Daphnia pulex: one gene and its partner. The protein of the gene in region 1 interacts with the protein of each later gene in a pairwise test. Links are inferred from orthologs where the notes say so. Each region holds a gene or a part of one and is shown in the gene's direction. Other genes may lie near its edges. The genes, in order: RING finger and CHY zinc finger domain-containing protein 1-like and androgen-induced gene 1 protein-like.

What was found.
Region 2: the proteins of RING finger and CHY zinc finger domain-containing protein 1-like (region 1) and androgen-induced gene 1 protein-like interact in binary tests that used the Homo sapiens proteins (3 or more experiments, as listed by UniProt). The link is inferred for Daphnia pulex from reciprocal best matches to the Homo sapiens genes RCHY1 and AIG1.

What each region holds. Positions count from the first base shown.
Region 1 is NC_060018.1:4,447,436-4,451,366, forward strand, and holds RING finger and CHY zinc finger domain-containing protein 1-like, read left to right. Parts: upstream 1-1,253; 5' UTR 1,254-1,355; coding exon 1,356-1,415; intron 1,416-1,622; coding exon 1,623-1,784; intron 1,785-1,852; coding exon 1,853-1,919; intron 1,920-1,991; coding exon 1,992-2,080; intron 2,081-2,165; coding exon 2,166-2,348; intron 2,349-2,408; coding exon 2,409-2,504; intron 2,505-2,568; coding exon 2,569-2,668; intron 2,669-2,736; coding exon 2,737-2,768; 3' UTR 2,769-3,359; downstream 3,360-3,931. Other genes in the region: transcription factor TFIIIB component B'' homolog, read right to left, coding at 3,480-3,931. UniProt on the Homo sapiens protein: E3 ubiquitin-protein ligase that mediates ubiquitination of target proteins, including p53/TP53, TP73, HDAC1 and CDKN1B. Mediates ubiquitination and degradation of p53/TP53; preferentially acts on tetrameric p53/TP53.
Region 2 is NC_060019.1:10,201,669-10,204,918, forward strand, and holds androgen-induced gene 1 protein-like, read left to right. Parts: upstream 1-1,330; 5' UTR 1,331-1,518; coding exon 1,519-1,677; intron 1,678-1,753; coding exon 1,754-1,891; intron 1,892-1,959; coding exon 1,960-2,041; intron 2,042-2,101; coding exon 2,102-2,237; intron 2,238-2,304; coding exon 2,305-2,456; intron 2,457-2,523; coding exon 2,524-2,627; 3' UTR 2,628-2,736; downstream 2,737-3,250. Other genes in the region: microtubule-associated protein futsch-like, read right to left, coding at 254-458, 513-672, 728-819, 888-947; dentin matrix acidic phosphoprotein 1-like, read left to right, coding at 39-152. UniProt on the Homo sapiens protein: Hydrolyzes bioactive fatty-acid esters of hydroxy-fatty acids (FAHFAs), but not other major classes of lipids. Show a preference for FAHFAs with branching distal from the carboxylate head group of the lipids.

The sequences.
Region 1 (3,931 bases):
GGGAGTCAGATTTTGTCAGTAATTGTATTTGGTTTGATTGAGTGGATATTTCGAACGTTCTATCAATAAAAAGACTCGTGTTCCAATTCTTTGAAAGTTGCGGGTTCAAATAAAAATGTCTTCCAAAGAAAGAAAATGAGAGTATAAATTGATCGATAATGACGCTGCGCTCCTCATCTGATAACCTACAGCCAACGGTCTGTAACACGTGGGTCACTTATCTTTCTCGTCGAATAAAAAAACGCACATGAATTGAAATTGAAGGCCTTCTAAACAAATTTACCCAACAAAATCTTAAAAATTTGCAATGCTACTATAATCTCCATGCGAGAGAAGGAAAAGGGGATGACAAGGTCGACATTAAAAAAAGTTTTCGTGAATAAGTAAAAAATCTTCAATTGTCGCAGCTATTTATGTGCAACAGGTCACATTGGCTTACAATCTTTCGTACATTTCATAGAAAATTAAATTACCAGAGTATGCACAACCTCGCAAAAAAAGTCGTTTAAGTGTTTTTTCCTACCTTCGTAATGGTCACACGTGGGATTTGATGTTATCATGTTGAGGGTCGGCGGTTTGGTCGATTATGGTGTTTTGTCCCCAATTGTTCGGCAATGTTCTTTTCAACTGCTTACGAGATCGATGATTCACAATTCACAATCACAGGAAATGATTATGGCAATAATTATTCAGTCAGAGTTCACAGTCGCGCTATACACACTTTCAAATTCTACTGCCAAATTGTTGAGCATCCGACCTCGTGGGCCGCACGAGAACAACTAAGTTTTTCAAGGACCTTGCTGCCCTTTCAATAGGTAGGGTCATTTGCATATTTTTCTCAATTTGAACGTAAAAAAAAATTTCTTCGATTTTCTCCTTTCCTCCTTTTCTCCTACCTTACCCCGGTCCCCGGCCTTAAGTCCATTAATATTTCAAAACATGCACTCCGATAGACTGTATAAAACAGTATGGCAACATTCGAGTGTTTTGATTTTGAAGAACCGCTTTTAGAAAGGACAAGGAAGGGAGCTAGCGACATCTCGTCACAACAAATTTAAGTTCGTGATTAACCAATTAAAGATTAGAGATGAGAAAATTGGATGAAAATTAACTTGCTGGTTACTCTGGATTCCATTGGGAAATTAGTTTTTAAATAAATTGCTGCACAAACAAGACAAACGTGGGAAGTTAGGAATTTTCGGAAAGAAGTCGACCCAACATAGTTCATGTTCATGCCGCTAGGCTAAGCCCAAACCTACACGCTGTACACTAACTGGCCGAAACTCGTGTTTTCTTTTACACTGTGTACACACACTGCCAGATACTGACTCGTTGGAATAGGTGGAGGAGATAAAATGGCTGAGGAGAATGTCGAATACGGTTGCGAACATTATAAACGAAAATGCAAATTAGTGGTAAGTAGTTCGACACTTTGTTCTTAACCAAGTAATGTTGTAACTCAAGTTGGTCGGGAAATAACTGTGGGCACAATGTCTGAAAAATGACCATGATATCTCCTCGTGAAGATAATGCGGTTTTATAGTAATCCTGTTTAAAGTTGTATTGAGAAGTTAAATACTTAATTATTTATTATTTTACTAAACAATAATTTTGTTTTGTAGACACCATGCTGTGACAAAGTTTATACTTGCCGTTTTTGTCATGATGAGAAGGAGGAACACACCCTTAACCGAAAAAATGTGGATGAAATTATGTGTTCATTGTGTGAAACAAAACAACCAGTTCAACAAAACTGTTCCAATTGTGGTATCCTCTTTGGACAGGTAAAGTATCAGACTTTTTTCTTTTCTTTTTTTTTTCAAAATAAAGAAACCTTGATTTTGTTTTGCAGTATTTTTGTGGAAAGTGCAAGTTGATTGATGATGAAGATAAAAAGCAGTATCACTGTGAAGGATGTGGTAATTATTATTACATTTTAAAACCAATTATATTTAATCTTTGGTGACAACTCCTATATCTTACTTTTTCAGGAATATGTAGAGTCGGAGGAAGGGACAAGTTTTTCCACTGCCAAACATGTGATATGTGCTTACCAAAAAAACTTGAAAATCAGCATAGAGTAAGCATTTTTGTGGGATTCTAATTTATACATAAATTATTTTGGTTTTTAGTTCATTCAATTAGTTATTTTTGCTCTGTTACAGTGCGTTGAAAAGATGAGCCGAACAAATTGCCCAATTTGTTTGGAGGATATTCATACATCAAGAATTCCTTCACACATCCCATCATGTGGTCATCTGATTCACCGAACATGTTTCAATTCATTTATTCATCGTGGTCACTATGCCTGCCCAGTTTGTCAACGTTCAATGATGCCGATGGAATCGGTACTAAAATTTAAATTTATAAAACGAATTATAACGTTACCAATTGTGTTTCCATTCTAGTACTGGCGCATTTTAGACGATGAAATTGCCTCAACCCCAATGCCAGTGGAATATCAAAATTTTTTTGTCACGATTTTATGTAACGACTGCCATCAGGTTAGTCATTTCTCGGCACTAAAGAGTTTTTAAAATGTTATTATAATTAACAATTTTTTTGCAGTTTTCTGAAGTTCCAATGCATCCCCTTGGAGCGAAGTGCCAAAATGCACCATGTGGATCGTACAATACGTGCAGAAGCGGTGGTCCTGTTAATAGACCTGGTAATTATAATTTTATTAATCTAGAGGAACTGCGTACCACAAATCAACTTTTTCTCTTTTTTTTTAAGCAGTCAGAGAACAATCTCCTAACTCGGAATAAATGGCCATGATTATCAAGGGAATAGGATGTTGTTTGTCATTTACTTGGACGGCGGTTTTATTCTGTTGACATGCAATAATTTTATTGGCCATCTACTAAATGGTCGAGTTTGTATTTTAAAGGCTTTTAAATTTTCATCCGTGAATCTTCCACCTTATTCGGCGGTAGGCATCTGGAGCCTGTTCGTGAAATTGGATCGAAAGGTTTTGTGAATTTTTTTCTTATCGTTCAAGTTACTCGTACCCCGTCAGCCATCCTGCTGATGTTTGATACCTGTTTTGTTGCCCTTACCTCGTTGCAGTGGCTAAATTGCCGTCATATTGTAATGCACCGTAGTGAGTAAAAAAAAACATCAGACAAAAACAATGGGTAACATTTAGAAATGACTCCTCGAGTAGTTTGAAAATGGACACTGCCAGAAAAGTTCATATCCGAAATTATGAAGATTCTTCTGTGCAGCTTGTGAGTTTCTTGTAATTTTACATGTCATATTATTACAATTGATTAAGCACTTCTCTTCAATTCTATGTGGAATGTACCTTCTGAACATTTTCAAATAACAATTCTGTATAAATATACGTTGTTACCTTATTCACTGGCCTTAAGCAGTAATTAGATCGTTATTTAATTCTGGATGGCAACAACATACACACGCACACACAAAAAAAAAATTAACAGTGAAGGATTGGGCAAAATGCGTAGGGGATCTTATTAGGAGACCGGTTCAAACGGTTCGGCTATACGGTATACATGTACCAATTGATTATTAGGATCTCCGGGATTGGGTTCTGCCACCAACACTAAACTACCGGGTTCAGCTTGAGCAAACGCGGGATTGGCTTCTGCAAGAGCTGGAGGGACTAGAAAAGATGGAGCCTGGTTAGGAGTTCCAGGAACTTCAACGACGGTTAACCCACCTTGTTCTAAACCAATTTGTCCAAGGGGAGAATTCAGCAAACTGTCGAGTGGAATATTTGAATTTGGAGCAGTAGGGTTAGCATCCTTCGAACAATTTGCTGGTTCCAAAGCATCATTCTCAGTTGGGTTTGCTGGTTGTTCGTCGTCATAATCAAGAGGCTTTACATTCTTTCGTCGCGTTATTTTACCAGATCGGGATCCAATAGCCGTCTTTCGAGCTCTTGTAGACACTCGAGATTCAGTGG
Region 2 (3,250 bases), on another chromosome or scaffold:
AGTGCGAACTTTAATATTTAAAATGCTTCTTTCAAAAGGTTTTGGAGCTACCGAATTCTGTTTATAACGCTACAACCACTGGATTCATACGAATGAGCGCCAGTACCTTTTCGAGTAAATCCAGCTTTACCAGCAATGATGAAGAAGCTTAATTTTTACTGATTCTACCCTAAACTAGCTTTGTATATGCCTCAATTCAGGCAGTGAGCAATCACCAACTAATAGGAAACAGCAGAAAACAAAAATGTTTTACCTTTCATAACTTTGACTTTGTTTTCCAATTTTTCACACTCTCTGGACACAGAAGCAGTGTGTTTCACTTCCTCTTCATATTTCTCCAGAACTTTAACTTTTGCAACAAGCTGAGATGTGAAGTTTTCTCCTGCTTCTGCTTGAGACTTCCATTTTTGAGCTTCATCGTTCAACTCTTCGAATTTCATTTCATAATCTGCATTAGCCTAAATATAAAATCTGATAAGTTATGAGCCATAAAAGAATTGAAAGGAAAATACCTTTTTTAACAATTCAATGCTACCATTAACTTTTGCATACTCTTGATTACGAGTATTCAAATCCCGATGAAGTTGGTCAATAAGATGAACAAACTCCTCATTCTTTCTTGTTAGGATATCACATTCCACTTTGGAGGACTGGTACTCTCGAATTAATTTACTGAAACAAATTGAAACTTAGTATGTATGTAAAATGAAAGTAAAACACTTCATACTCAGTGCCGATTATTTTCTGTTTTAGAGTCAAGAAACCAGCTAGTTGCTGGGCATTGCTGTTCTCCAACTGTACCGTTCTTTTGTCAATTTCCTATTAGTAATACAAATATGATTATTAAAGACTGGCTTATAACATGGTAGAATGTTCAAGCATCTTACGTTTCGTAAAACGCTGCAGTTTTTGCAGCCGCCCTCCGCTACTTCGTGATCCATCGTCATTTAAAATGGAAAACGTTGTCCCACACTCAGGCAATCAATCAAAGAACCATGAGAGGAAAGAAAATCGGAGTACAATCTATGCATCTACAATGAACTCGTTGATCAATAAATTATTAATTGTCGACAAGAGGCACATATTGCCCTCAAAACTTAAACACAAACACGTGTGTATCTGTATCACGAAGACAGAGACAGACAAACAGAATTCTGAAGCGGGAAACTATGTTACTATGTCCGGCTATGTCTATGTATTCATGCATGGAGATCTGTCTGTCTAGTAGCGCCAAAAATTCGTCTGTTAATTTCGTGCCTAACGCCATCTGTTATCAAAATTGTTCAATAATCAAGCTTTTGATATTTGACAGAATCAACAGCGATCGATTAAATGTTGTTCTGTGTGCCGTCATGGCTGTGTAGGACTCTATCTTATGAAAATGGATAGATAAGGGTTGAGACGGACGTACTATTTTCCAGCCATTCCTGAATCTCTTTATCAAGAAAATTTCACTTGCTATTGCTCTGATTGTCTAAAAATCAAAGACTTCACGAAACAGTGCACATTTTTATCACAATGCAAAACTCAGTTATATTCCTCTTTCACTTGGCTGCTGCCATAAATTTTGCTTATGGTATTTACTATGACCTTGTGGAATTAAAGTTGCCTGAAGACTATTCAAAAATTTCAATTGACTTTGCTGGAAGATGGAAGTATTTAACTTTTTGGAACATGGTAACTTGTTTACACTCTTATTTTTTCTTTTGAAGTTGGATTGTAATGTTACCAGTTCTTATCTTTCTTATTTTAGGTACTTCAACTAGTCTACTTTTCATTTTCTCTCTTAAATGATCTGTTTGGCAGCAACTTTGTCAACAAGAAAGATCGAACTGTTATTCAAAAACTAAGGGATTATGTTTTTGGATCACTTGTCTTCCCCTTAGGAATGGTAGACATCTGATGTATGAATTATATAAAGGGCAAAACCTTAATTTACCTCTTCTTCTTCTTAAACAGTTTGTTGCAAGCACTTTCTGGGCTTTGTGGGCCATTAACCGTGAATTGGTTTTTCCAGTTGCTCTTGATGCATTCTTTCCAGGTACTAATTTCTAAGTTGTGAATGTGGATTTGGAGTGCTGATTGTGGGGAATAAATTTAGGTTGGTTGAACCACATCATGCACACTTCAATTGTTCCTCTGGATTTTATTGAACTGCTATTCATTCCAAAAACATTTCCAAAGAGATCTCATGCAATGTCAGGACTCTCAGTACTCATGCTTGGATATCTTGCTTGGTAATGGATAGAAACTTCACTCAATTTTATGCAGAAATGTGTTTTAATTAACTCACATTCTCTATAGGGTATTTGTCATCGCTTTCAAAACCGATTTTTGGGTTTATCCCGTTTTAGCGGTCCTGCACTGGGGTTATCGTTTGTTGTTTATAGTCGGTCTCATGGTTTTATCGGCGTTTATGTATTTTTCTGGAGAAAAACTCCATTATGCTGTCTGGGGTAAGATCTGCTAATAATAATTCACAAGTTTTTAAGATATTAACCTGAATTGAACGATTGATGACAGGTGAACCAACTTCTAAGACAGTCAAGTCTTCTCAAAAAATCGTTAAAGAGAACAAACTACCAAAAGCCACCAAAGAAGGCAAAAATAAACGCAAACAAAATTAATGCATAATACATTCCGTGAGCTCCAATTGCCACGAATAGACTCGCGGGTCCCGTAGACATAAATGGAAATTAACTCAGACATTTGAAAATAAATTCTTTTTAGGCTCAATGATTATCTCTTCTTTCGTCTCTCAAAACGCTTACAATAAAGACAACGAAGTTATATAAATTTACAAATTGTATTTATATACAATCCAAGTGCTACAGAGCACACTCACTATTGATGAAAGGGTTTGGAGCTAGAGAGAAAGTGTTTTTTGAAGAAAGTTAAGGCAGTCGGAGCGTACACGACCAGATTTCTTGAATGAGAACGAATTACATAGAGATACAGCAGCCAATTTTTGTAATCGGGGTTTTTAAAATGAAACAAGCAACGGGGGGCCAACAATTTTGTTATTTTTTCTCGATTTGTAAAAGAAAAAAATACATCATACATGACAATAATGTAATTTTCGGAGCACTGAACCAGACGCATGATCTTTTTTTTCTTATACAATTAATGAACGGGGAGTTTAATGTGTGTTAAGCAATGGGGACGGACGCAATCACTTATCAAAACAAGTCCTTTTTTAAAACTATAAATTAGATGGTGAGAACCAATGATTTTTTTTTAACGTCAATGA